Macaca fascicularis: one gene and its partners. The main gene of each other region encodes a partner of the protein of the gene in region 5 in a complex. Links are inferred from orthologs where the notes say so. Each region holds a gene or a part of one and is shown on either strand. Other genes may lie near its edges.

The links.
Region 1: the proteins of GNAS (region 5) and olfactory receptor 51E2 are in contact, whole or in part, in a cryo-EM structure (PDB 8F76), measured with the Homo sapiens proteins. The link is inferred for Macaca fascicularis from reciprocal best matches to the Homo sapiens genes GNAS and OR51E2. Residues at the interface, in NP_000507.1 of Homo sapiens: Gln31, Gln35, Arg38, His41, Asp215, Val217, Phe219, Tyr358, Phe376, Cys379, Arg380, Ile383, Gln384, Arg385, His387, Leu388, Arg389, Gln390, Tyr391, Glu392, Leu393, Leu394; in NP_110401.1 of Homo sapiens: Met58, Tyr59, Asp120, Arg121, Ala124, Ile125, Cys126, His127, Pro128, Leu129, Arg130, His131, Ala132, Leu135, Asn136, Asn137, Ile220, Thr223, Val224, Leu227, Pro228, Ser229, Glu232, Lys235, Ala236, Thr239, Cys240, Lys294, Thr295, Lys296.
Region 2: the proteins of GNAS (region 5) and SCTR are in contact, whole or in part, in a cryo-EM structure (PDB 6WZG), measured with the Homo sapiens proteins. The link is inferred for Macaca fascicularis from reciprocal best matches to the Homo sapiens genes GNAS and SCTR. Residues at the interface, in NP_000507.1 of Homo sapiens: Gln35, His41, Val217, Phe219, Thr350, Tyr358, Phe376, Cys379, Arg380, Asp381, Ile383, Gln384, Arg385, His387, Leu388, Gln390, Tyr391, Glu392, Leu393, Leu394; in NP_002971.2 of Homo sapiens: Arg174, His178, Tyr239, Leu240, Leu243, Leu244, Ala245, Ser247, Phe248, Ser250, Glu251, Arg252, Leu320, Lys323, Thr326, Gln327, Thr329, Arg339, Arg342, Ser343, Leu347, Tyr388, Leu391, Asn392, Gly393.
Region 3: the proteins of GNAS (region 5) and FZD3 are in contact, whole or in part, in a cryo-EM structure (PDB 8JHI), measured with the Homo sapiens proteins. The link is inferred for Macaca fascicularis from reciprocal best matches to the Homo sapiens genes GNAS and FZD3. Residues at the interface, in NP_000507.1 of Homo sapiens: Lys34, Tyr358, Gln384, His387, Leu388, Tyr391, Glu392, Leu393, Leu394; in NP_001399840.1 of Homo sapiens: Arg232, Lys318, Ser321, Glu322, Leu397, Val400, Lys408, Lys413, Leu414, Phe417.
Region 4: the proteins of GNAS (region 5) and HTR1A are in contact, whole or in part, in a cryo-EM structure (PDB 9GL2), measured with the Homo sapiens proteins. The link is inferred for Macaca fascicularis from reciprocal best matches to the Homo sapiens genes GNAS and HTR1A. Residues at the interface, in NP_000507.1 of Homo sapiens: Ala39, Asp215, Lys216, Val217, Arg342, Arg347, Thr350, Ala351, Gly355, Tyr358, Phe376, Arg380, Asp381, Ile383, Gln384, Arg385, His387, Leu388, Arg389, Gln390, Tyr391, Glu392, Leu393, Leu394; in NP_000515.2 of Homo sapiens: Asn69, Ala71, Asp133, Arg134, Ala137, Ile138, Pro141, Ile142, Tyr144, Val145, Asn146, Arg148, Ile218, Ala222, Arg225, Ile226, Lys228, Thr229, Lys232, Val233, Asn325, Arg327, Asn328, Lys332, Arg339, Lys342, Thr343, Thr346, Leu347, Asn404.
Region 6: the proteins of GNAS (region 5) and HRH2 are in contact, whole or in part, in a cryo-EM structure (PDB 9IXJ), measured with the Homo sapiens proteins. The link is inferred for Macaca fascicularis from reciprocal best matches to the Homo sapiens genes GNAS and HRH2. Residues at the interface, in NP_000507.1 of Homo sapiens: Gln35, Arg38, Ala39, His41, Asp215, Lys216, Val217, Asp343, Leu346, Arg347, Thr350, Tyr358, Phe376, Arg380, Asp381, Ile383, Gln384, Arg385, His387, Leu388, Arg389, Gln390, Tyr391, Glu392, Leu393, Leu394; in XP_006714928.1 of Homo sapiens: Arg116, Ala119, Val120, Met121, Pro123, Leu124, Arg125, Tyr126, Pro127, Val128, Ile205, Val208, Ala209, Gln212, Ala213, Arg215, Ile216, Ile219, Ser220, Trp222, Lys223, Lys231, Ala232, Thr235, Leu236, Leu291, Asn292, Arg293, Asp294, Arg296.
Region 7: the proteins of GNAS (region 5) and ADCY9 are in contact, whole or in part, in a cryo-EM structure (PDB 9U3P), measured with the Homo sapiens proteins. The link is inferred for Macaca fascicularis from reciprocal best matches to the Homo sapiens genes GNAS and ADCY9. Residues at the interface, in NP_000507.1 of Homo sapiens: Ile207, Glu209, Phe222, Arg228, Arg231, Arg232, Lys233, Trp234, Ile235, Gln236, Phe238, Asn239, Glu268, Leu272, Ser275, Ile276, Asn278, Asn279, Arg280, Trp281; in NP_001107.2 of Homo sapiens: Ala381, Phe382, Arg383, Phe1070, Glu1072, Tyr1075, Glu1076, Glu1080, Cys1081, Arg1083, Val1084, Glu1087, Asp1091, Phe1152, Asn1155, Met1156, Leu1157, Trp1158, Phe1159.

Annotation. Positions count from the first base shown.
Region 1 is NC_088388.1:69,722,701-69,726,959, reverse strand, and holds the start of olfactory receptor 51E2, read right to left. Parts: upstream 2,809-4,259; 5' UTR 2,759-2,808; coding exon 1,796-2,758; 3' UTR 1-1,795. UniProt on the Homo sapiens protein: Olfactory receptor. Activated by the odorant, beta-ionone, a synthetic terpenoid. The activity of this receptor is probably mediated by G-proteins leading to the elevation of intracellular Ca(2+), cAMP and activation of the protein kinases PKA and MAPK3/MAPK1.
Region 2 is NC_088386.1:12,318,354-12,321,884, reverse strand, and holds part of SCTR (secretin receptor), read right to left. Parts: intron 3,176-3,531; coding exon 3,043-3,175; intron 969-3,042; coding exon 815-968; intron 1-814.
Region 3 is NC_088382.1:31,668,044-31,672,210, reverse strand, and holds the start of FZD3 (frizzled-3), read right to left. Parts: upstream 2,822-4,167; 5' UTR 2,691-2,821; intron 1-2,690. UniProt on the Homo sapiens protein: Receptor for Wnt proteins.
Region 4 is NC_088380.1:69,611,000-69,614,972, reverse strand, and holds the start of HTR1A (5-hydroxytryptamine receptor 1A), read left to right. Parts: upstream 1-1,164; 5' UTR 1,165-1,713; coding exon 1,714-2,982; 3' UTR 2,983-3,973. UniProt on the Homo sapiens protein: G-protein coupled receptor for 5-hydroxytryptamine (serotonin). Also functions as a receptor for various drugs and psychoactive substances.
Region 5 is NC_088384.1:114,906,104-114,910,330, forward strand, and holds the start of GNAS (guanine nucleotide-binding protein G(s) subunit alpha isoforms XLas), read left to right. Parts: upstream 1-1,427; 5' UTR 1,428-1,961; coding exon 1,962-4,092; intron 4,093-4,227. UniProt on the Homo sapiens protein: Guanine nucleotide-binding proteins (G proteins) function as transducers in numerous signaling pathways controlled by G protein-coupled receptors (GPCRs).
Region 6 is NC_088380.1:182,529,809-182,533,906, reverse strand, and holds the start of HRH2 (histamine H2 receptor), read right to left. Parts: upstream 2,802-4,098; 5' UTR 2,666-2,801; intron 2,487-2,665; exon of another isoform or gene 2,093-2,486; intron 1-2,092. UniProt on the Homo sapiens protein: The H2 subclass of histamine receptors mediates gastric acid secretion. Also appears to regulate gastrointestinal motility and intestinal secretion. Possible role in regulating cell growth and differentiation.
Region 7 is NC_088394.1:4,895,183-4,899,204, forward strand, and holds the start of ADCY9 (adenylate cyclase type 9), read right to left. Parts: upstream 2,806-4,022; 5' UTR 2,753-2,805; intron 2,584-2,752; 5' UTR 2,541-2,583; coding exon 848-2,540; intron 1-847. UniProt on the Homo sapiens protein: Adenylyl cyclase that catalyzes the formation of the signaling molecule cAMP in response to activation of G protein-coupled receptors.

The DNA of each region.
Region 1 (4,259 bases), on a different chromosome or scaffold from region 5:
AGGCCCAATGATTGTATTCAGATCTCAGCTGCTCACTGGATCTGCTCAACAGTACAGTGGGAATACCCTACATTGAAATAAGATGCATTCAGCATCCTTACTATTGTGTGAACCATTCCAGTCAGGATTCCTGCACTGGTGAGAAAGAAGACTAGGGAATATCTCACATCTCCAACTCTGATTTATAGGATTCTATAAATGTAAAATCGATAGGCATAACACTCAGCAAAATTTAAAATAAAATTTTATTTTATCTTATACTTAAGTTCAGACAATAGCATGTGGTGTACATTCAAAATTTTTGACAGGTACAGAGCACATTAAAAAATGAAGACATGATCAAGGAGATGTAAGAGACAAATAGACAACAACATTCTCCCTGAATCTGGAAAGAAGCAAGCAATAAGACCATGAAAGGTGGCTGTAAAACAGGAAGAGTATTCTGCATGTGTTGCCCACAACTAGGGCAGGATTATCTCTCATCACACGTTCAAAGCCATTGATGTTAGCGTGTAACAGAAAGAAAACAGAGGATTTGTACAGCTGAGGAAATAAATGGCAGATGTTACCCAGGAAGCAATATAACGTGGTAGTTAAGTAACTGTATTCAACTGTCGAATTTAATTTTAAATCTTGGTGCAGTGCCCACAAGCTGTGTGACTTTAGTCCCCTTGATAATATAAACTTCATTTCTCTCACTTATAATAAAGAGACACAAATGGTACCTACTCCACCAAGTTATGAAGAACACATGAAACCTGTAAAGCACTTACAATAGTGCCAGAACATTGTGAGCACACGTGATATGTTGGTTGGCATTATTATTAACGGCTTATATAAATTCCCAGGTAATGCATAATAACAATAGAGACTGTGACAAGCCCTGGCTTACATAAATGATCAGCTTCGTTTTCCCTATTTCATTTGACATGTTATTCCATTGTATGCTTTGAGACAGGGTCTTGCTGTGTTGCCCAGGCTGGAGTGTAGTGGTGCGATCATGGGTCACTGAACCTCAAACTCCTGGACTCGAGCGATTCTCCCACCTCAGCCTTCCGGGTAGTGGGGGCTACAGGTGCATACCACCATGCCCAGCTATCATATTCCCTATTTAAAAAGTTGTACATGGGCCGGGCGCCGTGGCTCACACCTGTAATCCCAGCACTTTGGGAGGCCGAGGCAGGTGGATCACGAGGTCAGGAGATCGAGATCATCCTGGCCAACATGGTGAAACCTCGTCTCTACTGAAACATACAAAAAATTAGCCAGGTGTGGTGGCACGTGCCTGTAGTCCCAGCTACTCAGGAGGCTGAGGCAGAAGAATTGCTTGAACCCAGGATGCGGAGGTTGCAGTGAGCCGAGATCGTGCCACTTCACTCCAGCCTGGTGACAGAGCAAGACCCCATCTAAAAAAAAAAAAAATGTTGTACATGACAGTTAACCAATACCTCCATAATAATAATAATGATAATAATAATAATAAAAAGAAAGTAGGGACAACACTAAATCATTAGCAATTTGAGCACATTTCCTCCAAGACATATGCTATTTTTCAACTTGGCTTCAATCATGTATCTTTATGTTTGGTTTTATTGTAGTCTTTAATTCACATAATACTTCATTAGTATGTATTATTCCACATAATAGTCCTTTAAGTAGATGGACCATACTTTAGTTTATTATTCCAGCCAGAGAAAAGCACTGATGTGCTTATGGGCAACTGGAAATAAGCTAGTGTTGGAAATAATTATGTTTATCAAGCCAATAAAGATAAGGAGAAGTGTAGTGTTAAGGGTCACTTGCCTCCCACAGCCTGAAAGTCCTTGTCACAGCTGATCTTGAACATAGCCAGCACCCTTGTTCTGATCTGTTTGGTTTTGGCACCATAGATGATGGGATTGATGACAGGAGGCAGCAGCAGGTAGATGTCACCCATGACAACACGCACAATGGGATGAAGGCTGTTTCCAAAGCGGTGTACCACTGAGAGGCCAATAAGTGGCACATAGAAGGCAAGTACCACACCAATATGTGACACACAGGTTCCAAAGGCCTTGGCCCGCTCTGACTTGGAAGGCAGTTGCAGCACCGTTCGTATTATCAGAAAATAAGACAAGGAGATGAACATTACATCCACTCCCATGACCAGCAGAATGGCAGTAAGACCATATACCACATTGGGCAAAGTGTCTGCATAGGCCAACTTCATCACATCCTGGTGGACACAATAGGAGTGTGAGAGTACATTGGAGTGGCAGAAGGCCAGTCGCTTGATCAGCAGAGGCAGTGGGAAAAAAAAGAGGGACCCGCGGACCACAGCCACGATGCCAATCTGGGCTGTTACTGTATTGTTGAGCACAGCAGCATGGCGCAGTGGGTGGCAGATGGCCACATAACGGTCAAAGGCCATGGCCAGCAGGATGGTGGATTCAATGGCCGAGAGGGCATGAATAAAGAACATCTGGGTAAGGCAGGCCTCAAAGCTAATCTCTCGGGAATCAAACCAGAAAAGTGCAAGGATCTTAGGCATGGTGGATGTGGATAAGGCCAGGTCAATGGCTGCCAGCATGCAGAGAAAGAGGTACATCGGAGAGTGCAGGTTGCGTTCCGTCCTTACGATGAAGACCACGATGCAGTTTCCAAACACTGCCACTACATACATGGAAAGGAGGGGGAAGCCAACCCAGAAATGGGCTTTCTCTAGTCCTGGGATACCAATAAGCACAAAGGTGGCATGTGTGAAGTTGCAGGAACTCATAGCTGGAACTGAGGAGGGGTGACTGGAGAGGGTGAGGTCACACTGGCAGTCTGCAGGGACATAGAGCACAATCAGAGAATGCCCTGGAAACTTGAAACTGACATCCCACCCCTTTTGTCTCCTCCCACCCCCCACTTAGGGTCTTTTATAAACTCTGAGGCCCTCTTCCAAAGGGGGAACTGTGACAGCTCAAATTCATTTATGCATCACTACTCTCAAGGTTTATTTAAATTTTTAAAAGGGAACCCTGGGAGAGCAATGCTTTTTCCAAAATGTAGCCTTTCCAAATTCCCTCAGATTCTTCCTACTGATCCATACCTTCATTGTCTGGATATTTGGTGACCCTTTTTTTCTGATATGTGCTAAGAGATACACTTTTGGGAGCTCCTTCCAGATAAGGCTGCCTTTCTTATTTTACTTTCCCTGCTTCCCTCCCCCCACTTTCTTTCTTTCGATTATTCCTTCATTCCAGAAGCATTACTAGCATAATGTATGCATTTAATTCATGCGAAAGAGAGAGGCATGATCACAGAAGAATCTTCCTGTTTAGACTTGAAACATGAGTAGAAATTAGACAGAGAGTGGAATAATGGGTGTTCCAAGGCAGTGAGGATAGGAGATAACTTTGCAAATTTTCAGGATTCCCGGTCCTCAATTCTGAAGTCAGCCAGAGGAATAAGAAGCACAGCAATGACATTTTTTTAAAGCTTAAAAGAACATAAATAAACAAAACCTAAGAAAAAAAAATGCCAAAAGCCAATCTCTTTCAGATTAAAGGAAACTCATCTGTGGTCATAAAATCAAAGGTAGTGGCTCCCTCTGATGACTTCTTCAGAGATGAAGGTGCTGTCAGGACACTGGTGAGTACCTCCACATCTGAAAGCTTCTTCCAAGGCCACTTTAATTGCATCCAAGGATAGTTTGAGTTGAGTCCTTACTTTGGAGAAGTATTATTAATTTTACAATGATATTTTTAGAGCTTTGTCTTTCCTGAAACTTGTGCCAACAAGTCATTCATCTCAGGGGAGACATTTCTTTTTTAGAAGCCCAGTGTTTCTTTGCCCCAACTCCCTACCCTCACCCAAACACCTGGGTTCTGACTTCACGAAACTTCTTCTCTGCTAGGTTGCCTAGGTGCCTTGGTCTTTAGAGCTAATTTTCTCTAGAACGCCAAAGCCTTGGCTGCAAGGCCTAACTTTTGGAAACAAATGATGCAGGTGTCTTCATTGATTATCTGTTTCATTGAAACAGGTTAGCCTGCTTATATTGCACTCCCCTAACCCCAGAATTTTTCACTCATCATCTGAGTTCTTCCTGCAGCTGGGAGATGCCCTTCAATTTGCTCTTAATGTAGAGGGGTTAGATACCAGTGATCTTAAATTACAATATGATAACATTAATACAAAGAGATTAGAACTGGATTCTCCCCATTTTGGATAAGCAAGGAAGGACAGATTCAGGGTTCAAAGGTTACAAACCCATACTTCTGCCTCTATTTTCT
Region 2 (3,531 bases), on a different chromosome or scaffold from region 5:
CCACTAGAAACAGCAGCCTAACTATAAAGCCGATGTTACAGAAGGCAAAGTAGAGACAGAAAGAAACAGTGTTAAGCTGCTGGATTCGGCCTCTCCTGAAGTTGGTGATCCCTGGACTTTTCAGTTATATGAGCCAATTGATTTCGTTTATGTTTAAAGCTTGACAGATTTTCTGATGCCAGCAGTCAAAAGCATCCTAATACAGAAAGGAAGCAAGAAAGAGGATGTAGGAATGGACCGTCTGAAGGCAGATGAGGCAACGAGTATTGGGTAGGAACGAACTGTAAAAAGATCTAGATGCCAGAAACTGGGGCTAAATTTGAGCTATGATTTCCCACTTGACAGATAAGTAAACTGAGACCAGAGGGTTAAACATCAAGGAGATTCTCTAAGATTACACAAGTTAGCTGCACGCGGTGGCTCACGCCTGTAATCCCAGCACTTTGGGAGGCCGAGGCAGGTGGATCACCTGAGGTCAGGAGTTCAAGACTAGCCTGACCAACATGGTGAAACCCTATCTCAATTAAAAATACAAAATTAGCTGGGTGTGGTGGCACATGCCTGTAATCCCAGCTAGTTGGGAAACTGAGGTAGGAGAATCACTTGAACCCGGGAGATGAAGCCGAGATCACACCATTGCACTTCAGCATGGGCAACAAGAGCGAAACTCCAACTCAAAAAAAAAAAAAAAAAAAAAAAAAGATTCACAAGTTAGTTAATTGTGGAGCTGGAACTAGTAGCCAAACCCTCTGACTCTCGACTCAGCGCCCCTTCCCACATACCATGCAAGTACCAGACCCAGGGAGAAACATACCCCATCCGAGTGCCACAAATCCCTGGAGGTACTTTCTTTCGGAGAAGAAGGAGATGGCGAGGAGTGTGTGAAGGTAGAGGCCTTCCACCAGCAGCCAGGAGTAGTTGGCCATGATGCAGTACTGGAACAGCACCATGACCAGCTTGCAGCCCGCCTGGACAGAGAGAGGCAGCTGAGCCCAGGCCGGGTGGCAGTGGGGCTCCCTCTGGTGAGTGGCCCCAAAGAGAGCAAGAGGGTGTTGTAGGGGCAGGAGCCAGGCCACAAGAACAGGCCTCTGGGGTTCAAGGCCATCTTCTGTGGCCTTCCTCCATCAGGCCTGCAGCATTCTCTAGAGAGTGGGAGTCCACAGACCTGGTGGGTTCAGTCAAGCTGGCCAATGAGCCATCACAGGAGCAGGAACTAGGTTCAAATGCTAGCACTGGCTGCCAGGCTAGATGAGGAGACAGTCCTTCAACCACAAAACTGTGCCGGATACTGCCCAATCCCCTCATTTTTTCAGATGAGGAAACCAAGGCCTAGAAAGGGAAGAGATTTCTGAGCAAAGGGTTAAAAAAAATGTTTTCTAAGCTCAGTTCCCTTGCAAACACATAATGATGGGATGTGCCAACTCTGTTAGGAGGCACCACTGATTATGGCAAAAATGGCCCTGGCTGGTACATTGCACTCTCCACATATCTGATGGGAATGTCATAGAGTTGGACTTCCCCCATGCAGTGACTGACTCTTTTAACAGGCATGTCCCCTGCAGGGATCCCTGGAAGTTATGCTGATAGAATTGTGGGGCACCAGGCTTCTACACCAGCACAGCTCCTGTACCTCTGCCGTGGTAGGGCCTTTGTCCTTTTCTTTGCATTGAGCTGTCCCCTGAGGATGGGACAGCTCCTGGGATAGCCCTAGGGCTGCCGCAAAGACAAGCCCGAGAAGGAGGAGCACCCAGTGCTGCCTGTGAGACAGTGGTGGTTCCTGCCTTATGGCCTTCCCAGAGGCTCTGACTCCAGGCAAGGCCCATTGTTGACTTGTGAGTCTGATGTTTAGTAAAACTTGAGAAGGTTCCCTGCTGGGGCGTTGCTGGCCTTGTCCACTGCTGGTCAGTAATGAAGCGTGGCTAGGATTTAAGGCTCCTGACTCCCAGCAAGTACTCTTGTTTCATCCTGGAGACCTCCTTGAGAGACATGGATCCTACTTGAAGAACCTCTCAGTCTGAGTCAGACCTCTCAGTCTGAGTCAGAAAACACACACACACACACACACACACACAACTATGAACAATACAAACAGGTGAGTGGTAGGAAATGGCAAGCAGGCTGGCTGAACTAATCTCAATTTCCAATCTGTTTTCTCCCTTGCTCGCCTCTCCAATAGAGACTGTGACAGTAAAAAACTCAATCACCCTGCTTCCTTTGCAATTAAGTGTGGTTACATGACTCAACTCTAGCCAATGAGATGCAGGATAGGAGTTTCTGGGGAGGGTACCTTTTCTCAATAGAAAGGCAAAGCTGCCCAAAAGAAAAAAAAATGTTTAACCTTTTACCACGTAAAGCATGACATCAAAGGCCTACTCTAAGGATGGCAGTGCAGAAACAGGGAAAAAGACTGTGTCCCTCATGGCATCGCACAGCCATTGCGCCACCTCATCTGTGGACTGTTTCTGTAGGAAACAGTTCCCATTTGTTTAAGACTCCAATATATAGTTTTCTGTTATTTGCAGCAAAGGGAATCCCAATTGACACACAGGGTGATTGCAATGAATTGAGTCATCTGGGCATTTGGAAGGAGAAAGGGGGTTAGATTTAAGAAAACACAACTGTTTTATCGCAAACGCGTTTATACAGACATACTGGCCCGTGCTCACTCTTTTCTTTTTATGACCAACCCCCACCCTCTACAGACCGGGTCATCTTTCTTCAGCTAGGAACTGGCAGAAGTAGGCAAAAGAGGCATCTCCCTCTATACCTAATTCCTAGAGTGGCTAGTTCACTCCTGGACACTGCGAGTTTACGGCAACCCCCACAAGCTTCTCTCCTACGTGACCCAGATTGTGCACATGTGGCCGTGGAATCTCCCTGAACCTCCTGGCCCAGCGTCAGCACTGGCCACTTCATCCTTGGTATTAAGTGCAGCCTCAGCAGGGGCTTGGAGGAAGGATAACTAGGCTACTTCCCTCTCCAAAGTTAGGCTGGGGAAGGTAGGCAGGCCTGGCGACACCCCGGGGCACCCAGGCATATTACCCTGTGGGCATCGCAGTAGGCGATATCATCTGAGGAGAAGAGCACAGCGTCCTTGATGAAGTTGGACAGGGCGCGAAGGATGAAGGACACGAACAGGTGCATGTGGATGTAGTTGCGGGTGCAGTGGAGCCTCCTGCAGGGAGAGAATGTAGGGCCATAGAGGCCAGAGTCCGCTGAGGGGCTGGGACTCAGCCAGGCCCACCTGCCTCTAGTGCACTGGGGAAACTGAGGCCCTAGACTTCAGCTCTTTCTGGGTAACACATTCTGTGAGCATAACCTGAATGAGGACGAGGGTCCCCAGATGGCCAGTCTAATTTGCTACATGCTGTAGTGAAAAAAAAAAAAAGGCCAGCCACAGTGTGGCTCACACCTATAATCCCAGTACTTAGAGAGGCCAAGGCAGGAAGATCACTTGAGGCCATGAGTTCAACATATTGAGACCTCTGTATCTACAAAAAAAAAATTTTTTTTTAAAATTAGCTGGACATG
Region 3 (4,167 bases), on a different chromosome or scaffold from region 5:
GATCTTTAAAAATTGACCTGAAAATAAAACTGAAAAGTTAAGAGACAGATAGATTCTGGACTTTAAAATGGGCTGAAATTTCAGCCCAGCTTCTCTTAAATCTGCTATCAAAAAATTCTCTAATACCAAGTCCCTGCTTTCCATCCCCCTTAACAAGGCTGTATGGTTTGCATGCTTTGACTACGGAATTATTTTAATGAGATAAAATCTGGGGACCAGGATTTGGTTTTCAGGTCCACTAGCCTAGTTATATTCATCTCTAACTTAATGTGCAATACACTCCTTGAATATACCGAACTGTCAATAGTTCCCAACATGATGAACTGGAAAGCAAAAAGAGGAAATTGATTTTTTGACATAGTAGGTAAAACTCTTTCCTAGCCAGTAAGAAGCTGTTACACTTCACTTGTTCCTAGCATTACAGAAATATCACTACTGAAAATCTAATTTCTTTCCTCGAGACTACCACAAAATTTCCTCCAATCTATGCTGAATAATTTATCCAGTACATATTTTCAAAATCGTTCTTTTTATTTTTGTGCACAGCTGCAGTTTTAATCATGCATAATTGTAGAATTCTGGGGATAGGAAAAAAAAAAAAAAAAAACTTCGGGCCAAAACCGCTCAAAGAAGTGGTACGAATTGTTTCCTACTATCTGTCTCTGAAGGAAAAGAAAGTCAACAGCAGCTTAACATCAACAAACTCACATACTCAGAAAAAGTTTTGAATATAAAATCTTAGAGTTTCACTATCAAACTAATATGAAATTTAAGTCTGTTTCCTGGGAAACAGACAACTTATTGTGAGTAAAAAACTCCTCTCTCCTTCCCCAGTGATAAAGCTTTCACTTTGTTCTATACAAAGAAAGAATGTGCACTTTGCTATTAAATTCCCTTAGCCCTCTCTACTTCAAATATCTCAATCACGGAACTCCCAAGAAATATCCACCTGAATGCTCAAAGCACAAAATAAAGCTCAGAAGCATAGAGTAGCTAGGATGAGGAAACGGCTCATTGTCCTTCTTCTCCTTTTATAAATGGGACGCTTTTACAGATTTAGGAGAAATGGAGATACAGAATTTTAGTAGTGGATGAGGGAAAAAGGATAGGAGGAAAGAGAGGGCAGAATGATAGGCTTTACCCGTAATTTACTTATTTTCCTAACAGTTTCAAACAATGGGGTGGGACGGGGGTATAGTAGAAGGGCTGCCTCTTAGTTATACTTTATCTTCAGCTCTATCCTTCCAGCCCCGCCCAGTCAAGCTCTTACACCTCTTTCCTAGGCTCTCCGACTCTGATTTTTTTTTTTTAATCTTTGTGGGTTTTTTTTCTGGAGGAAAAAAATAGTATTGATTTGTTTAATAGTAAAGACGGAAAGCATTATCTTCAAGAGTAACCACTTCTTAATAATAGAACTAAGGATTTCTATTCCTTTTCCAGACTAAAATGCAGGAACGGCACCAGCACACCACCAAGGACTAAAGGAGGATGAGGGAAGGAGGTAACATCCCCAGGGGTAGTCAGGTCTTTGTTTCCTTGCTCATATCATACTGGCTTTACAAAGTAACTCAATTCCCATCAATAAGCATTCCCGATCAGAATTACTTCTCTAAAATGAAGCTGTGTCTGAACACTTTCCCATAGCAGTCACTGATGTGGCTGCTCTGCTGTACTGCCGCTGCATCTCCCTCAATCCAGACGGGAACCAAAATTCAAAGAGTCATTCTACACTGGGCAAACCGCCGAACCTCCTTCATGGGGCCGATCTCTCTAAATCTGAAGTCTACTCCTCTGCCTCAATTCATGGCACGTGCTTTTGTTCTTAAAAACAAAGCCAAGAAAAGCCCCCTTGGCTTATCTTACAACAGAGGGATCGAACTCAAGACTCCTAGGATGTAAAACACCTCTAGGAAAATGTTTACATGTCTTGAAAGGACATAAGGCTCCATAACCTTGCAGGCTATTTCACAACAGCTTGATTTCAGATGCGGACCCTCGGGCATCGAGCAGTGGCCACCCCACGGCAAACCCATAGCCCGCGGAGGAGGCAGCCGGGGGAAGCTCGCGGAAGGGAGCAAGGATTTTGCAAACTGACGGACCGGCGGGGAAACTTTCAGGCGTGGGCAGGCAAAGGTGGGCCCGAAGCTGACCCGAGCCGGGGCTGGGAGCCTGGCGGCGCGCGCTTCGGGCTGCAGGGAGCCACCGGCGCATTGTCCTCCGCCCACGCCCCCCGGCGCCCCGCGCTGCCGCCGGCTCCGGCCAGGCCCCTCTCCCAGCCAGGCCCCTCTCCCAGCCGCGCAGGGTCTGGGCCGGGGTGGAGGCGAAAGAACTGCGGTCCACACTCGCACAGGTTGCCGAGCGCGGGCTCAGGGCGGACAGGGTTAACCGTCTCCAGGGGCAGCTCCCCCGTCAGCCCTCAGCCCCAAACTAGGCGTCCCCGAGGCCCCCTGCCGCCACCGCGGGCCCAGGCCCCCGCTCCGCCGTCCGCCACAGCCCGGTGCCCAAGGCTTTTGTTGTGGCCGCGACGAGAGGAACGATCCCTAAGGAGGAGGCGCCGGGCTGCTGCTGGCTCCTCGGCGCGGGCTGAGGCGGAGCAGCAGGCAGCCGCGCGGCGCGTCCGCGGGCTCCACACTCGCCGCTCCCTCTCCCGCTGCCCCGGCCCAGGGGCCCACACGCTTCGGGGGGCTCACCTCAGACCCCGGCGTCTGGCTCCAAAGCGGTGGGGGCTGCACCGCCAGCCGAGGGCGGCCGCGCGTCCCTCAGGTACCCGGAGCGGCGGAGGACCGCCGGCGCGCGCCTCCCAGCGACAGCGAGCTTTCGCGAGCGCCAGGGCGCGCGGCCCGGGGAGCGAGCGCACGAGCGCGCGCGCACGCACGGGGCAGGCGCACTGAGCACGCTCGGCCGAAAGCTCCCTGCCGGAGCCTGGGCATACCGGGCTGGCCTGGCGTGTCTCGTTGTTCTCTGCCTCTCGCCCTGATTGACGTCTGGAGCTGCCCTGCTCCGGCGTGCTGGTTCCCAGCCCCGGAGGCGCTAATCCGAGATGCACTCGGGGGCCTCCTGGCAATGCACTCCCTCCCCTGATAACACGCGAGCGCGGAGGTGTGATTGCAGGACCACCTACACCTGGTCTGAGAACCAGAGGTGCCGACCTCCGGACCTGGGGATTTGGGGTGCTCAAGAGGCAGATGCCCGGATGCTGAGGGTGGAATGGGGTGCAGGAGCTCTGGCCTGCTACAGAGCTCCACGCGAAACAGCATGGCAGACAGGCTACTCGCCCGGGATAGTTCATAGCCTCTTGGCCAAGACCTTTGGAAACAGGTGGAGCTGGTCGTTACTGGTGCGCGCCCCAATTTTTGCTCCTTAGGAAATGTTTCTCCTCTCCTTTTCTACATAATTGGCTTTAAAGCTGAAAGAATTCTTAAAGATCGTCTAAATTGAACCTCTCATTTTTCAGACGAGGAAAAGATCGCCCCAAAAGGTTAGATGATTTACCTAAAGCCATGCAGCGTTTTAACAACAGGGCCTGGATTCATCCCAACCTGTTGTTGGGATGAAAAGAAAAGGGCTGTTTTTCTTTTCACTGCACCGTTTAACCGTTTCTTTCTCTTCTTTTTTTGTTCCTCGTGAACCTAGATTGCATGGGCATCATTTTGTTCATTCGGTAGCACATAGAACTTAAAGAAATTGAACAATGTGAATGGACTTAGCACTATTAGAATTGTACACTTAAAATATGGTTACAATGGTGCGTTTACGTTGTGTGTGTTTTACAATTATTTTTAGAAAGGCGCTTGATACGTGTTAAGTAAATGTTTAAGAGTATTGAACTTAGACCTAGTGTTTCACATCAGAAGGTGAGCTGTGTGAACAGGCATGATAAATGAGATCTGAAATGACAGTTTCAGTTTCTCTAATAAGTAAATACTTATGCAGTAAACAATGTTTAAAATAATATTGATTCTTAGGTTGATTCTAGGCAGGGCGGTGTATCCTCTGGAGCCAGCGGTGCCTCTGTGGAGAGTGAGTGAGGGGGCAGATAGTGTGGGGGAAATCTGTGTGTATCAGATCCCTTGTAGCTGGGGAACCTCCGGAGATGCTGTGCGAGGTGCATTTTTATTCAATTTAGCCACCATCCTGTAAAGACTGTCAGGAATGGGACACATCATA
Region 4 (3,973 bases), on a different chromosome or scaffold from region 5:
CTTTTCTTTTAATAACTGTCTTCCTCTTTCTAGAAGAAGTTGTACTTCCTCAATACTTGCTTTATTTCTGCATAAGGGTTTCTAGACGGCACTCTAAAACATTTGCCAGAAGGTGGCGACATAAACCCTTATTGCTTAGAGCTGTCCCAGGTGCTGAACCCAGTTTCTGGGATAGGAGAGGCTAGCCGGCTAGCGAACAGGGATTCCACCAAGTTTCCCCCAGAGGTTTGCAGGCTCTGGTAGGAAGTGCAAACGGCCATATAAAATGCCAGGCTTCACTTAAAACACATATGCAAAATATTTCCATCCCTGAATTTGCTAGCCACAAAGTGACAGTGTTACTGAAATTACAAGTGTAGTAGTGATGGAAAAGTGTGTGTGTGTGTTTAGAATATATATCACATTGAGTTTTGTTCTTCATTTCGAGTTGCAGTTGTTTACCTCTCCTTGTCCTTTGACACGTCCTTTATAATTTCGTTCTCTCCTAGTTCCGCAAGGTTAAAAAAAATGTCACAGGCAGTATCCTCCCCGAAAGAATCCGGTCTGACTGTTAGATGATAACGGAGGTAGCGTTTTTGTTGTTGTTTGTTTGTTTGTTTGTTTTGAGACGGAGTCTCGCTCTGTCGCCCAGGCTGGAGTGCAGTGGCGCGAGAACGGAGGGAGGTAACTTTTTAAAAACGAGACACACTCCGTCTTCTTCCTTCAATTAGCAATTATTGGGAGACTGATCCAGGACTGTTCACCTTCCCATTCAGGCTCCCTGTGCTTCCTTTACTCATCTCCTATTGCCACTCAGGGATGCTGACACGATTTAAGAATTTGACAGATAATATGAGGCAATGAGTAGTCGGAATTCCCTCTCCCCGAATACCCCCTCCCCAGTTTGACTGGATTGGAGGAGGAGTTTATCTGTTACAACCTTGGTCTGACCGACAGGGATCCGGTGTGTGTAAGTGAGTTCTGAGTCTCTGTTGACAAAAAGGGACTGGAAAGCAAAGACGCTGAGCTTGAGGGAGAGGAGGGCGGGGACCCAGAGGAAAGAGGCACTCCTCGGGGTTGGGGTTGGGGAAATATTAGGAGGGGAGGGTTAGAATGGGAGGGAGGGAGCCTGGCTTTCGAAGCGACTCACAGAGGGATAAATAAAGGGAAGTGAGGAGGAAGAGCGAGACTGAAAGGGAAGGCAAGTGGGGAGAAGGGGGTCGAAAGAGGCAGAAGAGAAAGAGAGAAGAGAGAGGAGGAGAGAGGGGGAGAGAGGGAAGGAAGGAAACAGGGAGAGGAGGGTCACAGAGTGACAGTGGAGGATGGGGCTTCTCCGTTCTAGATATTTCTGGGATTGGAGACTGTTTGCTAGAGGAGAGACTCCAGCTCCTCCGACAGCCAGTTTGGGAGCGGCAAAGTAAAATGGACAGCGACAGACAGACGTTCCAGCCACCTCTCCGCCGCCCGGAGATCCTGGAGCTGCTTTCAGGCCAACTCCAGTTTCCCAGCTGGAGCCTCTGAACGCGCTGGACTGCGCGAGCCGGGGGAGCGCCTGAAAGCTGCTCCTCAGAGATACCTTCGCTGAAGCAGTAAGAACTTCCTGCTTGGGTGCCTGCATTCCCTTCCTCCGAAACTTCCCTGGAGAAGCGTGGGGGAAGACCCCAGGGGAAGGGGCGAGGCGGATCTTCGCGCTGCTTTTTCTTCCCTCCCCGTTCCCGCGCCGGGCGCGCAGGCATGGATGTGCTCAGCCCTGGTCAGGGCAACAACACCACATCATCACCGGGTCCCTTTGAGACCGGCGGCAACACTACTGGTATCTCCGACGTGACCTTCAGCTACCAAGTGATCACCTCTCTGCTGCTGGGCACGCTCATCTTCTGCGCGGTGCTGGGCAATGCGTGCGTGGTGGCTGCCATCGCCTTGGAGCGCTCCCTGCAGAACGTGGCCAATTATCTTATTGGCTCTTTGGCGGTCACCGACCTCATGGTGTCGGTGTTAGTGCTGCCCATGGCCGCGCTGTATCAGGTGCTCAACAAGTGGACACTGGGCCAGGTCACCTGCGACCTGTTCATCGCCCTGGACGTGCTGTGCTGCACCTCATCCATCCTGCACTTGTGCGCCATCGCGCTGGACAGGTACTGGGCCATCACGGACCCCATCGACTACGTGAACAAGAGGACGCCCCGGCGCGCCGCTGCGCTCATCTCGCTCACTTGGCTTATTGGCTTCCTCATCTCTATCCCGCCCATGCTGGGCTGGCGCACCCCGGAAGACCGCTCGGACCCCGACGCATGCACCATTAGCAAGGACCACGGCTACACTATTTACTCCACTTTCGGAGCTTTCTACATCCCGCTGCTGCTCATGCTGGTTCTCTATGGGCGCATATTCCGAGCTGCGCGCTTCCGCATCCGCAAGACGGTCAAAAAGGTGGAGAAGACCGGAGCCGACACCCGTCATGGAGCATCTCCCACCCCGCAGCCCAAGAAGAGCGTGAATGGAGAGTCGGGGGGCAGGAACTGGAGGCTGGGCGTGGAGAGCAAGGCAGGGGGTGCTCTGTGCGCCAATGGCGCGGTGAGGCAAGGCGACGATGGCGCCGCCCTAGAGGTGATCGAGGTGCACCGAGTGGGCAACTCCAAAGAGCACTTGCCTCTGCCCAGCGAGGTTGGTTCTACCCCTTGTGCCTCCGCCTCTTTCGAGAGGAAAAATGAGCGCAACCACGATGCCAAGCGCAAGATGGCCCTGGCCCGAGAGAGGAAGACAGTGAAGACGCTGGGCATCATCATGGGCACCTTCATCCTCTGCTGGCTGCCCTTCTTCATCGTGGCTCTTGTTCTGCCCTTCTGCGAGAGCAGCTGCCACATGCCAACGCTGTTGGGCGCCATAATCAATTGGCTGGGTTACTCCAACTCTCTGCTTAATCCGGTCATTTACGCATACTTCAACAAGGACTTTCAAAACGCGTTTAAGAAGATCATTAAGTGTAAGTTCTGCCGCCAGTGATGACGAAGAAGTAGCCGGCCAGTCGGGGCTACAGGATCTGCCCCATTCACTATGCTTCCCCCAACCCTAGGGAATCAACACTTAAGATAATTTGCCACTTCTTCTCTGTCTCTCTGCTCCGCCCGCGGCTTGCGGACCTGGTCCCCTCCCCACTTCCCGCTCCAGCGCAGGGCGCTTTGTGCAAAGGAGACCCAGCGGCGGGGCGTGAGAGCCCAGAAAATTCCGTTTGTGAGAAGCGACTTTAGCTCAGACTTTGCCTTTAGCATCAGTTTTGATCCCAGCAATTGCCTCTTCTCTCTTCTATCCCCTAAATCTTTGCGGTAGATGTTTAATCCTTAGCTGTTCAAGGCAGAAAATCCAAAAACTAAAAAATAAATAAACTGTACACACAGCCGCCGCGCCCACTAAGGAGCTCCACCCTATCACCCAACTTCTAGAACTTGGACTTGAGGTTCGGGAATTTGCTCCATCTCTCCCGCCCTCTGGCCCTTGAAATATTCACCTTTTCCTCCCTATTTTTATCTTTTATTTTCTTTCATTGCTTCCCTCTCCGCCCTCGCCCATCCTTATGCACGAATCTGCTGGTCCAGAGAGGCGGAAGAGGCTGATTTCCCCGTGCCAGCGGTGCCCCTGGGATTCCCTGTCTTCGCGCAGACTTGAGATTAACTCTCTCGTGCAGTGCACAACCCCTGCTTCCTTTGTTTCCTTGGACTCAAAACAAGTGGCTAGAAGGTGTCTCTTAGAGTGGACTTGTAAGTACAAGGCCGGGCCAGTGGGGGAGAGCGAGGAGGAGGAGGGTGTGCAGACCACTTTGTCTATGCTTGTCTTGGTGTCAGCACTCACCAAAGAAGCTGACAATCATACAGTGGAGAGAACGGACGCTGTTTGCACAGGTAGCTGGCGAATGTGTACGTCCTGGCATCGCCACTTACTTACTGCGGGAGGCGCCAGCCGGCCGCTGTTTGCGCTCTGGGGACGCTGAGAGGCCTGG
Region 5 (4,227 bases):
GTTAGACTAGACGGTATCGCACCGTGCAGTGGTTCGCCCGCCTGCAGCTCCCATACAGCAGCCCGTGCTGTGCGCCCTGCTTGCTGCAGCCCGCCCTGTGTAACGCTCATCCAGCCTCTCCTCCCGCAGGACTCTGCAGGTCAGGTGACCCCCTGCCTCCTGCCCAGCTGCTCTGTGCCTAGACGTGGTTCACCAATCTGTCTTACTGGTGAGACCGACCTGATGCGCACCTGCCGGGTTTTACGTGACCCCCTAACAGCAGCTTTTCTCCCGGGCTCAAATCCCTCTGCAGACCCCAGACCAGAGCATAGCATGTGCACACACCAAGGTCACCAGGTGGTTTGGGTATTTACCTTTGGCTAGCTCTGAGCCCACCGCAGCATGGTAGCGGGAGCGCAGCTGCGCGGGCAACCGCCGGGTTTGTGGCCGGTTGGCGGGCTCAGTGCCGCCTCAGTAGGCTCTAGCAGTGGAAAACTAAAGCGACTACCCTAAGATACCCATAGCGAGAGGAGAGGGGCTGGAAGGGTGCTGGAGACAGGCTGTAGTGGGGCTAAAGGAGCAGACTGACCGGTGCTGCGGCCGGCACCCGAAGCAGCGAGCAGCGCACCTCAGCTGCGGTTGCCGCGCGGCATGGTGTTTATCTGTGGGTTCAGTGCCCACAGCGTTGTCCACTCTCGAAATCACCCTAAACCGGCCATAAACGCCAACCAAAATCCCCTTTAACCCTTCCCTAGAACCGCAGGACCTGCGAAACTCTGCGGCCGCTTTGTGGGGTCCCCCTCTGCGCAGCACGCCCCCCACCCCTCCATCGGTGCCACCGCAGCTACTGCCTAGGGGGCTTTGCTCTTGGTGGTACGCACCCGAGACCTTCTTATTCCCCTGCGTCACCATCCACATAAACAAGGGAGCACCCTGCTTGCGCTGCGTGGGCCACTGCGGAGACCCCTAGAGTGTGATGAGGGTGGGGGCTGTTAAAGTGCTTTACCGGAGCCAACCTCAGCAAGCAACAAACAAAAGCAGTAAAAAGTACACCCAAGGCATTTAAAAAACAAATTGTGTGCTCGCATACTCGGCATCCCCTCTCCCTCGTCTCTCTCTGCTTCTCTGGTGGGCTCACGACCACCTGTCGCATCCCCACGCATGCCTGTGCCCCTTCTCAGGCACCAAAAGCCTTGCGCTCTGGACTAGGGGCTTGAGATCCGGAGCTGCCTGGAGGCTGGGGGCTATGACTCAGTGTTTCAGGGGTATCCTGGGGTGATGAAACCCTTCTTCAGTCCCCCCTCCCCCGAGGAGTCGGTTGGGTTGGGGAGGGAGGATTTCAGCTCCTGTACTCCAGCGTCCCGAGGCCCACGTCTTGCGTCACGTGTCCCGCAACGCAGGAGAGCTTTCTCTGGCCAGGGGAGAAGCGAGGAGAAAGATTCCAAATCAGTCAGGGAGAGGAGTGGAAGGAGCCAAAACGTCCCTGCGAGGCCTGCGCTCGTCAGCCCCCTTACCCAAAGTCCCGGGCCGCGGCGCGAGGAGCAGGATTCTGGAGCTGGAGCCAGCTCGGCACTGGAACCGGCGTCCTCTGGTGGCAGCGAGAGAGCGCTACTGGCGATTTTCGGACCGAATCGGCACGCTCGTCAGATCCAAGCAGGCGGGACTGGCCTGGAGGAGAAAGAAAGAGAGAGGAGGGCATAAGGACAGACCAAGGAAGAGGGGCTGGGGGGCATACTGAGGGGATAAAAAGTGGCCAGAAAGGAGCCAAGACTCCACCAGCAACAATTGAGTTGCTTCAGCCTCAGTCTAGGGTTCCAGGCCTTGAAGCCCCCCAACCTCACAAGGGTTGGAAAGTGAGGCTGGTGAACTTTCCAGCTGGTACTTTGATTTAAAAATAACAATAATAATTTTTTCACCCTAGTTCGGTTGGGTGCTCCGTCTTACGGAGCCCCAAACTTATTTTGAGAGGCCGCCACCCTGTTATGGGCGTGCGCAACTGCCTCCACGGCAATAATATGTCAGGACAACGCGATATCCCCCCTGAAATCGGGGAACAGCCCGATCAACCATCTTTGGAGGCCCCAGGGGCAGCTGCCCCCGGTGCTGGGCCTAGCCCAGCCGAAGAGATGGAGACCGAACCGCCTCACAACGAGCCCATCCCCATCAAGAATGACAGCGAGGCCTGTGGACCCCCAGAGGTCTCCAGGCCCAACTTTCAGGTCCTCAACCCGGCATTCAGGGAAGCTGGAGCCCATGGAAGCTACAGCCCACCTCCTGAGGAAGCAATGCCCTTCGAGGTCGAACAGCCCAGCTTGGGAGGCTTCTGGCCTACACTGGAGCAGCCTGGATCCCCCAGTGGGGCCCATGCAGGCCTTGAGGCCTTCGGCCCAGCATTCGTGGAACCTGGAGCCTTCAGTGGTGCCAGACCAGGCCTGGGAGGATACAGCCCTCCACCAGAAGAAGCTATGCCCTTTGAGTTTGACCAGCCTGCCAAGACAGGCTGCAGTCAACCTCTCTTACAGGTCCCAGACCTTGCTCCAGGAGGCCCAGGTGCTGCAGGGGTCCCCGGAGCTCCTCCCGAGGAGCCCCAAGCCCTCAGGCCTCCAAAGACTGGCTCCAGAGGAGGCTACAGCCCTCCCCCTGAGGAGACTATGCCATTTGAGCTTGATGGAGAAGGATCTGGGGACGACAGCCCACCCCCGGGGCTTTCCCGAGTTATCGCACAAGTTGACCGCGGTGGCCAGTTCGCGGCAGTCGCGGCCTCGAGTGCGGTCCGCCTCACTCCCGCCGCGAACGCGCCTCCCCTCTGGGTCCCAGGCGCCATCGGCAGCCCATCCCGAGAGGCTGTCAGACCTCCTCCTAACTTCACGGGCAGCGGCCCCCCGTTGGAGATCTCCGGACCCCCGCTCGAGATTGGCAGCGCCCCCGCTGGGGTCGACGACGCTCCCGTCAACATGGACAGCCCCCCAATCGCGCTTGACGGCCCGCCCATCGAGGTCTCCGGAGCCCCAGATAAGAGAGAGCGAGCAGAGAGACCCCCAGTTGAGGAGGAAGCAGCAGAGATGGAAGGAAGCACAGCCGCTGATGCCGCGGAGGGAGGAAAAGTCCCCTCTCCGGGGTACGGATCCCCTGCCGCCGGGGCAGCTTCAACGGATACCGCCACCGGGGCAGCCCGTGCAGCCCCAGCGGATCCCGACTCCGGGGCAGCCCCAGAAGATCCCGACTCCGGGGCAGCCCCTGCCGCCCCGGCCGATCCCGACTCCGGGGCGGCCCCTGACGCCCCGGCCGATCCCGACTCCGGGGCGGCCCCTGACGCCCCGGCCGATCCCGACTCCGGGGCGGCCCCTGACGCCCCGGCCGATCCCGACTCCGGGGCGGCCCCTGACGCCCCAGCGGTTCCAGATGCCGGGGCAGCCCCTGACGCCCCAGCCGATCCAGATGCCGGGGCAGCCCCTGAGGTTCCCGCGGCCCCTGCGGCTGCTGAGACCCGGGCAGCCCATGTCGCCCCAGCTGCGCCTGACGCCGGGGCTCCCACTGCCCCAGCCGCTTCTGCCACCCGGGCAGCCCAAGCCGCCCGGGCGGCCTCGGCAGCCCCTGCCTCCGGGGCCAGACGCAAGCTCCATCACCTTAGACCCCCCAGCCCCGAGATCCAGGCTGCCGATCCGCCTACTCCGCGGCCTGCTCGCGCGTCTGCCTGGCGGGGCAAGTCCGAGCGCAGCTGCGGCCGCCGCGTGTACTACGATGAAGGGGCGGCCAGCAGCGACGATGACTCCAGCGGAGACGAGTCCGACGATGGGACCTTCGGATGCATCCGCTGGTTTCAGCATCGGCGAAATCGCCGCCGCCGAAAGCCCCAGCGCAACTTACTCCGCAACTTCCTCATGCAAGCCTTCGGGGGCTGCTTCGGTCGATCTGAGAGTCCCCAGCCCAAAGCCTCGCACTCCTCCAAGGTCAAGAAGGTACCCCTGGTGGAGAAGCGCAGACAGATGCGCAAAGAAGCCCTGGAGAAGCGGGCCCAGAAGCGCGCAGAGAAGAAACGCAGCAAGCTCATCGACAAACAACTCCAGGACGAAAAGATGGGCTACATGTGTACGCACCGCCTGCTGCTTCTAGGTAATGCGGCGGACTCTGCCTGCGGGCAGCAGGGCCGCCGGGGAACTGGGTAGGGGGTGGCAGGGCTGCCTGCTGGGGCTCGGGGCTCGACAGTGGGAGGAGGGGATCCAGCCAAAGGCGGGAAGAGCTTGCTAG
Region 6 (4,098 bases), on a different chromosome or scaffold from region 5:
GATGGTGAAAATTTCAACCTGGAAAACACTACTTGAACCCTTTTAGAGACAATTCAGTCTTTATTGTAGGCCTGAGACAGGGCACCCTCAGATACAGTGCACCCTTACTGAACCATAAGTTACCTTTTTTTCAATCAGGCACCCTCCTCCCTGCTCTCAGAACTCGAAGCCAGGTAGTCCACTAATTATTAAAAAACATGCTCATTGCATAAAATCTGGAAAGTCAAGAAAAAGTAGTCAGGGAACACATCTCCCACAACCCCACCATCCATGGGCAAACACTGTTAACACTCTTTAGCCTATTTCCTTCCAGTCTTTTTTCTAAGCTCTTGCCACATTTTTGGGACCCTGCCATTTGCATGCCGATGCAAAACATGTTTCCATTCACTAAAAACTCTCAACTTTTGGTGGTCACATGTGCGTCCCATAATTTTATTGATTCCCTACTGTTGGACATTTAGGCACTTTCTGATTGTTGATGAATATCTCTGCACATGAAAGAGGCTTTGTGCATATCTCCATCCTTTCATTTGGATGTACTCCTCTTCTTTAAAACATTTTTTGGCAAAGGAACCTCTCTAGCCTGCTGGGACACCCTTTTCCCCATCATCAGGGATTTCTTCCTCAAGTCTGAATTAAATCTTTGGGATTGGAACTTAATCCTGTTTCCCTTACTATGGGGTGTTGGCGGAGATGGACCACAGCTGGTCTTGTTTTTCCCATGGAATGTCGCCTGGGAGGGTCAGTAGTTAATCATCAGCCTAGAATGGAGAGTGGGATGTGCCTGTGAGCTCAGGAGAATTAGCCTAGACTGAGATAAATAAAGACAAGGTTAACCCGGACAAGGTGATGGAGGAAGCAAAGAAATTGGTGGACTGGGGTGAGTCAGTCTGATATCAGCATCCTATGTAGTACTGAGTAGTGACCTTCCTTCCTTCCAGACCCTGAGAGAAATCTCTTGGAAAGAGTACCCCAACCCTGCTGCCAGCCTTCAGGCTCACGTTCTCCAGTGCTTTGTAGCAGCCCTTCCTATGACACATGGAACAAGAAGCCAGTGCTGATTGCGCACGTGCCATGTGCCAGGCCCTGTGCTATGCCGCAACTTATACAGTCATATTTTGGGGCCAGCACGATACAACCAGAAGCACCCTGGAGGCGGGCAGACCTGGTTCCAGTCTCTGCACAGGCATTTCCTACCAGTGTGACCACATGGCAATCATTTACCTCTGAGAACCTTAGTTTCCTCATCTGTAAATTGGGATTTGATGGCACCAGTTTCCCAGGATTGCTGTGGTGACTCTAACCAATGCCATACTTGTAATGCACCAAGTACCCGGCCTGCAAGGAGCAGGTTCTCGAGATAAGCTATTTTCTCATGATATTGAATTCTCCTTATATCCCAGCTCAGATATAAGGAGAAAATGCCACCATCCAGACCCAGAGATGTCAAAAAATGTAATCTATCCAATTGCCTTGGATAACCTCCAGGGACAGGAAACTCATTAGTAGGGAGGAATTTATAACTTCCTTTTATAAATAAGGAAACTGAGGTGCTGAGAGATTATGCCAGGAGTCTTCACAGGACAAAAACTGCCATCTGAGAGACGTCATGTCTAGAGGAGCATCAGCCTCAGGATAGGTCTGGAGTGGAGGCTGAAGCTTCTGGGCCCCCCACATTCCCTAGGCCCTGCCCTGCTTCAAGTCCAGCCTGGTCACCACCCAGCTTCACCGACTTACCCTCTCTGGCAAAGGACACAAAGGGGACCTAGAACGTAGAAATGACTTACCAAGAGGCAACCACCTCCAGGACTGGGCCCACCTGAGCTAGGGCATGACAGCTGCCACTGGGGGCCACCACAGCACACAGGCACTTTCCTGCCCCACCTCGTTCACCTCACAACACCTCATGGACGGGGTGGGGGGATTAGCATGGCCCTCAGGAGGAAACTGAGGCTGTCAAGCTCAAGGTCAATGCGCAAACTGGGATTCCTATCAAAAGAGGCCGCTTGCTCCGCTCATCCCACAGGCGAATCCACGTCCAGATGTCCCCAGCAAGGACTCCCACCCGCTGAGCGCTGCCTGTCGTGGCTCCAGTCAACGGTCGTCGGGCAGCAAGCCGCAGCCCAGCGGGATGAAGGCAGGTCGTTCTCGTTCCCTGAGACATAGAAGCCCCCTCCCCACCAGCCCTCGCCCTCCGCTGGCTTCCCTTTAGCAGAAAGTTGCTCCATGCTCCGACAGACACATCGCCGCGAGAAAATGCCACCACCCAGACCCAGGGACAAAACGGGGACTGTTTCGGCGCAAGTGGACTTTCCAAATCCACCCCTCGCGGGCAAAGAGGACATAAAGCCGAACCGTGTCCCGAGCACCGCCGCGGACTGGGACTGCATCCCGAGCTCTCAACGCCCCCTTGGGGAAGGCACAACCCCGGCGGTCACAGAGAAGGAAACTGAGGCTCACAGGCCAAGCGGAGGCACCTGCCCAAGGTCAGGCACAGCCAGGGAGCGGTGGGGCCGGGTCTCGAACCCGGGTTCGGGGCCACGACCGCCGCCGGGGATCCCGGAGCAGCCCCTCAGGCGGCTCCGCCAGCCCACGACGGGTCCCCAAGCCCGCTCGGGACCCCACCCCGCGCCGAGGCCCCGCGGGGAGGCGGCGGCCGCGTTACCTGGTGCTGCTGCCGCGGGCGTTGGCTCCGCACCCGGTTCGCCTCGGTCCCGCGCCCGCGCCGGCTGCGCTCCGGGCAGGGATGGAGCGGGCGGCGCGCGCACGGCCTGCGCCCCGCGCCTCGCACCCACTTCCTCGTCTCCGCCCCCAACTCGCTCCTCCTTGCTCTCAACGCTCCTTCCCTTCCTTCCCTCTCTAAGTCTCTCTCTCTCTCTCTCTCTCTCTCTCTCTCTCTCTCTCTCTCTCTCTCAGCGCGCACACACCCACATTTTCTCCCCCAGTCTCCCTCTCCCACGGTCTCACCCACTTTCTATTTTCCGTTCTCCTTCACCCTCCCTCCTCATCTCGCCGACTCTGACACTTGCCCCTTCCTCTTCCTTTCTGACACACTGCCCCCTCTTTCTCTCCCTTTTCTCCCTGGCTCTTTCCCTCTCCCCGCCCCGCTGATTGCGAGCCCGCCCTTGACCGGACAACCGCCTATTCCTGAGCCCCATGGTTCACCTGCGCAGATACTGGCTGAGTGGCCACAGCTGGAGACCTGCCCCGGGTGGGCGCTGGACCCAGGGGGTCAGGTGGCAGCCCTCACGTTGGGCGCCCAGGGCCCAGCTAGAGTCAGGCTAGAAGGGGGAAATAACTAGTTTTGAGGAAAAGCTTGAATAATTCTGGAATCTGAAATCTAGAAACACAAATGCAGAAATTAATTAGTTCAGGGGTTATTAATTACCAAAAAAAAAAAAAAAAAAAATCAGGAAACTTCAAAAACCCTAGAGTGGCTTTGTTTTGGTTGAAGGAAGGGATGAAGAGAGAGAGAAGTAAGGAAGTGGACTTTGGGAAAAGGGGTTTTGGGATAAGGAGAATAATGCCCGCCTTCCAGATGAGAAAACGAAGGCTCAGATGGGAAAACCCGTCTCCTGAATATCAAGATATCAAGGCCACTGTGCTAACCACACAGATCTCCGTGGAGGGAGCCTGGGTGGGCAGGATGGTGAGAGATTTTCGCCAGGCCTGGACAGCAGCCCAGTGCCGGGGAGGCAGGCGGTCAGCTGGGCTGACCGGGTTTGCTTGGGGAGCCTGGTGTGTGGAGGGGGATTTCCGTGGAAGCTTGGCAAAGGATGGTGAAAGCGAGGAGGGTTCAGCTAGCATGCATTTCAGACACATGCCACTGCTGACTGATGCACCACCTCAAGCCATTCTGTCACCACGGACCAGCCCTGTGCCAGGGGCTGCGAGGCAGAGGACGAGGGGCCATGGTCCCCTAGGTCTCAGTTCACAGCTTCTGGGGAGGCTATTGCTGCACTATGCATCCAAGTCATTGTCATCTTGGAATGACAAGAGCCTCCAAACTGGTCTTCTGGACGCCTCTCTTGCTCACCTGCCATTCACAAAGCAGCTCAGATAATCTCTGAAAAGTGTAAATCAGATCGTGCCTGTCTA
Region 7 (4,022 bases), on a different chromosome or scaffold from region 5:
CAGCAGCCCAGTAAAAACATCAAGAATAGCAGTAGGGAGCTTGAAACCAGGGACCAGGCACCAGATCCAAACCTGAGAGGACGAGGGAGGAGAATACCAGCTCTTCTGTGGGTACGTCTCTCCCTTCCAGATCACCTGCCGGCTGCAGAAGCTCAATATTCTAAAATGCCTGGTTCTTCACTTAAGGCAAATACTGTGATAATAAAATATCCTTAAACAAATGACGGCTGAAAGCTGAAAATGCAAACTTTTTTAAAAAGACCTAGATAAAAGGCAGTGTGCACTCAGAGGTAAGTAACTCCGTCCAGTTCTCCAGAGTCCTGCAGGACTGCGCCGACTTCCTATCCCTATTTTGAGGACAAGCAAAGTGAGGCCCAGAGAGGAGAAAGGTTTTATTCTCCACGTTTTCGCAAAAAGGGCACAGAGAAACATTTGGATGGGACTTCGGGGTGACCAAATGAAATGCAAAGGCAATTTCCTTAAGTGCTGAAAAGTGCTAACGCTGAACGGCTCCATACTCTTACGTTCACCGGACGTACCCCCGTACTTCAGCCAACCAGTGGTTATGCTCGTTCAAAGTTCTCCTTCCTTCTACAGGTCGCATCTAGGTCACGTCTGTACAGCGTCCCTTTCTGCATTGTGAAGAGATCTGTGATATTTGACCCGCTGGAGGAAAAGTCACACTGACCCTCAGATCCCCCCATGGTAAGGCATTCTGAGATACCTGAGCTGCCTCTACACACTGAGGTTGAAAGTTTGTGTGTGTGTGTGTGTGTGTGTGTGTTTTTCTTTTTTAATACAATCAGTTTCAGGGAGGGGGGATACTGAGGTAAAGAAGTGCACATACCTTTCAACTGGTCAGCAACCACGCTGTGGCCCAGCCGTTCGATAACTTTCCCGTCTTCCATTTCGTACCGGTCATCTAAGTATTTTGCAGTGGCCTCAGAAATGTGAACTTTGCCGGCCACTCCCAGCTGCTCCATGAGATTGGCCAGGTTCACATCGTTGGACCACACATCAAATTTAAACCTCCTCATGCCCAGGATGCCACACAGGACGGTACCCGTGTGCACCCCGACTCGCATGTTCACCATCTCCTTCTTCTCCTGGCAGAACTGCTCGATGGCCTTGATCATGCCCAGGCCCATCTCGATGCAGCAGTAGGCATGGTCGGCCCGGGGCTCGGGACAGCCCGCCACGCAATAGTAACAGTCTCCCAGAGTGCTGATTTTCTCACACTTGGTTTCCTCACACAGGCGGTCGAAGCGACCGAACAGATCGTTCAGGAGACCCACCAGGGCGTGGGCGGACTTGTTGGCACTCATCTTGGTGAAGCCCACGATATCTGCAAATAAAATACTGACTTCTTCGATCTGCTGCATCTTGAAAGGGCGGAAGGCTATAGGCGCTTTTTGGATGGAAGACTTTTTCTTCCTGTTCTTGGGGCTCGAGGTGGCATGCCTCTTGACAGAATTCTCACTCTCCTCATCCCCCTGCTTCATTAAGTCATCGGCTATGATTCTTGGCATCACGGAATGAATCATCCTCTCTTTGAGGGCTTTTTCCACTTCCAGGTCCTTCCCGTGCATAATGGATTGCCCTACCTTGAGGAAGGTGCTCCTGGACCTCACCTGGGACATGATGAACAGGTGGACCCCGATGGCATGGATGCAGCCGTGGAGCAGCGCCCTGCTCAGCAGCTCCCAGTGCAGGGCCCCGGCTCCGCGCGAGGGGAAGCAGGCTTCATCCCGGAAATGGTAGCCAAAGGTCTCGAAAAGGACAGAGTAGGCCACCCCCAGACACAAGCTCAGGTACAAAGGTAAGTGCATGACGGTATAGAGCAAAAAGAGCACTTCGATGCACATGGAGAAGCTCCCCACTTGAGATAAGCAAGTATCTGTGGGCTGGGCTGTGGCCGTAAGGTTGGAGCTGTCGCCGCGTCCTGAGACAGGCGTCAAGACCTGGAACTGCGCAGCCAGGGTCAGGGCGAACACCAGCAGGGTGAGAGCCAGCGAGGTCCACGCGTAATGCCGGGCGTACAGCTTGGTGAAGGTAAACAGAAAGAAGCCCACACACACCACGAGGAAGCACAGCGCGGGGCCAACCATGACGATCAGTCTGGATCTCATGTGCACCGCAAAATAGATGCTCCACAGAAGGCAGGCGAAGCCGATGTAGAAGAGCGCATACCGGAACCGGCGCTGGGTCTGCGGGAAGCAGCGCTCCCGGCAGGCCTCCTCCAGGTTCACCGAGTCGAACTTGGGGTCCCACCAGCGGCTTGAGGCCCTCTCGAACAGCTGGGGCAGCTTCTTCTGCCTGCGCAGCCGGCCTCCGCCGCCCACTCGCCGGGGGACGCCCCCGGAATCCCCGGAGCTGCTGCAGCTGGAGGAGATGCTGTATTTGCAGTGCTTGGGATGGCTGTTGGAGGACAGCTGCTTGGGGTTGATCTTGACGCGCACGCTGTTGCTGTCCCCGCTGGAGTCGCAACTCACCTCGGTGCTGTGGTGATGCAGCAGCTGCTGGTGGGGCGGGGAAGCCATGTTGTCGAGTCCCGGGGCCTGCCCGGGCCGGGGTCACCAGTACCTGCCAGCAAAACCGGGAGAGTTAGCTGCGCTCCCACCTAGGCATGCACACCTGCAGGCCGGGGACCTGCTCCCGTCCTAGGTGGCGGCTCCAGCACGCGACTTGGACAGGCACCATCTGCTCCCCGAAACTGTGGATCCCGGCTCAGCCGTACCCCCACCGCCCCTACCTTCGAGGCGGACGAGAACCGCTTGGGACGGACCTAGAGCGCCCGGGGGTCCCCGCCGCGTGGCCGCCGTGGGTCCGGGACCGCTGTGCTCGCTCGCCTTCAGCGCCGCTCGCCCCGAGGGTGGCCTCCGCGCCGCGCGGCTTCTCCTCCTTGTGCGCTCGCCTCCTCCAGCTGCGGCTCCGGAGGGAAGTTCAGACCTTGAGCGCTCCCAGCCCCGCGAGCCGCCTGCGCACAAACAACTCCGCCGGCGGCGCGGAGCCCTCCATCCTGCAGGAGCCGCGCTCCGATGCGTCAAAGGCGGCGCGCGGCCGGCCCCGGCCCCGACCCGGAGCCGCGAGCTTCGGCGGGCGCCCCCGGCCCGCGCTCCCCGGCCGCCTCCCGCACTCCGGGCCGGCCCTGCCCGCGGCGGCGGGCGCCGGGGGTGGGGGCGCCCCGGGCTGCGAGTGCGCGGAGCCCGTCGGCGCGGCCCGTCTAGCGGGGCCTGCTTCCCCCCGAGCGCGCCGCCGCCCCCGCCGGGACCGCCGCTGTCCCGGGACCGAGCGCGTGGAACCACGGACGCGGGCCCCTCGCCGGGCGGCGGTGCAGACGCTGCCGCAGAGCCGGGCTCCTGCGACGCCAGCCGGGACGCCCGCCCGCCCGCGCCCACGCCGGGGGCAGCCTCCCAGAGCTAGAGATGCGGCCGCCGCCGCGCCCGCCGCCGTGTCCCCCGCGGCCGCTGCCTCATGTCGGAAGAGCCGCCGCCGCCACCACCTCCGGCCCCTGCCCCGCCCGCTGTCACTGACAGACGCGCGCCCGCGCCGCCCCTCGCCCCGCCGCAGCGCGCACGCGCGCCCCGCGCACGCCGCCGCCGCCTCCTGGCCCCGGACACGCGCACGGGCCGCGCGCCGCCCCGCCTTGGTGCGCGCGCTGGGCTCCGGGCTGCGGGGCGGGGCGGGGCGCGCACTCGGCTCCGCCCTCCGCCCCGGGCGGCGCCGCTCCTCGGCCGCGCGCTGCGTACACTGCGGGCGCTCCGGGCGCTGCGGGCCGGGTCTCTCTGGGCGCCCCAGAGACCACTCGCTGCCCGGGGTCCCGGGCTGCGGAGAGACCTGAAGGCGCGCGCCGTGGAAGGGAGCCGCTGGGCGCAACGTTTGGGAAATCAAAATGTTGCCTTCCCACTCGGCACGCCTTTGGGATAAATCGAAGTTTCCAACCGTTGGATTTCCCTCCCGGGAGGCTCCCTTTGCTCTGTAAGCAATGAATGCGGGCCCCGGGGCACTCGGCCTGCCCTAGA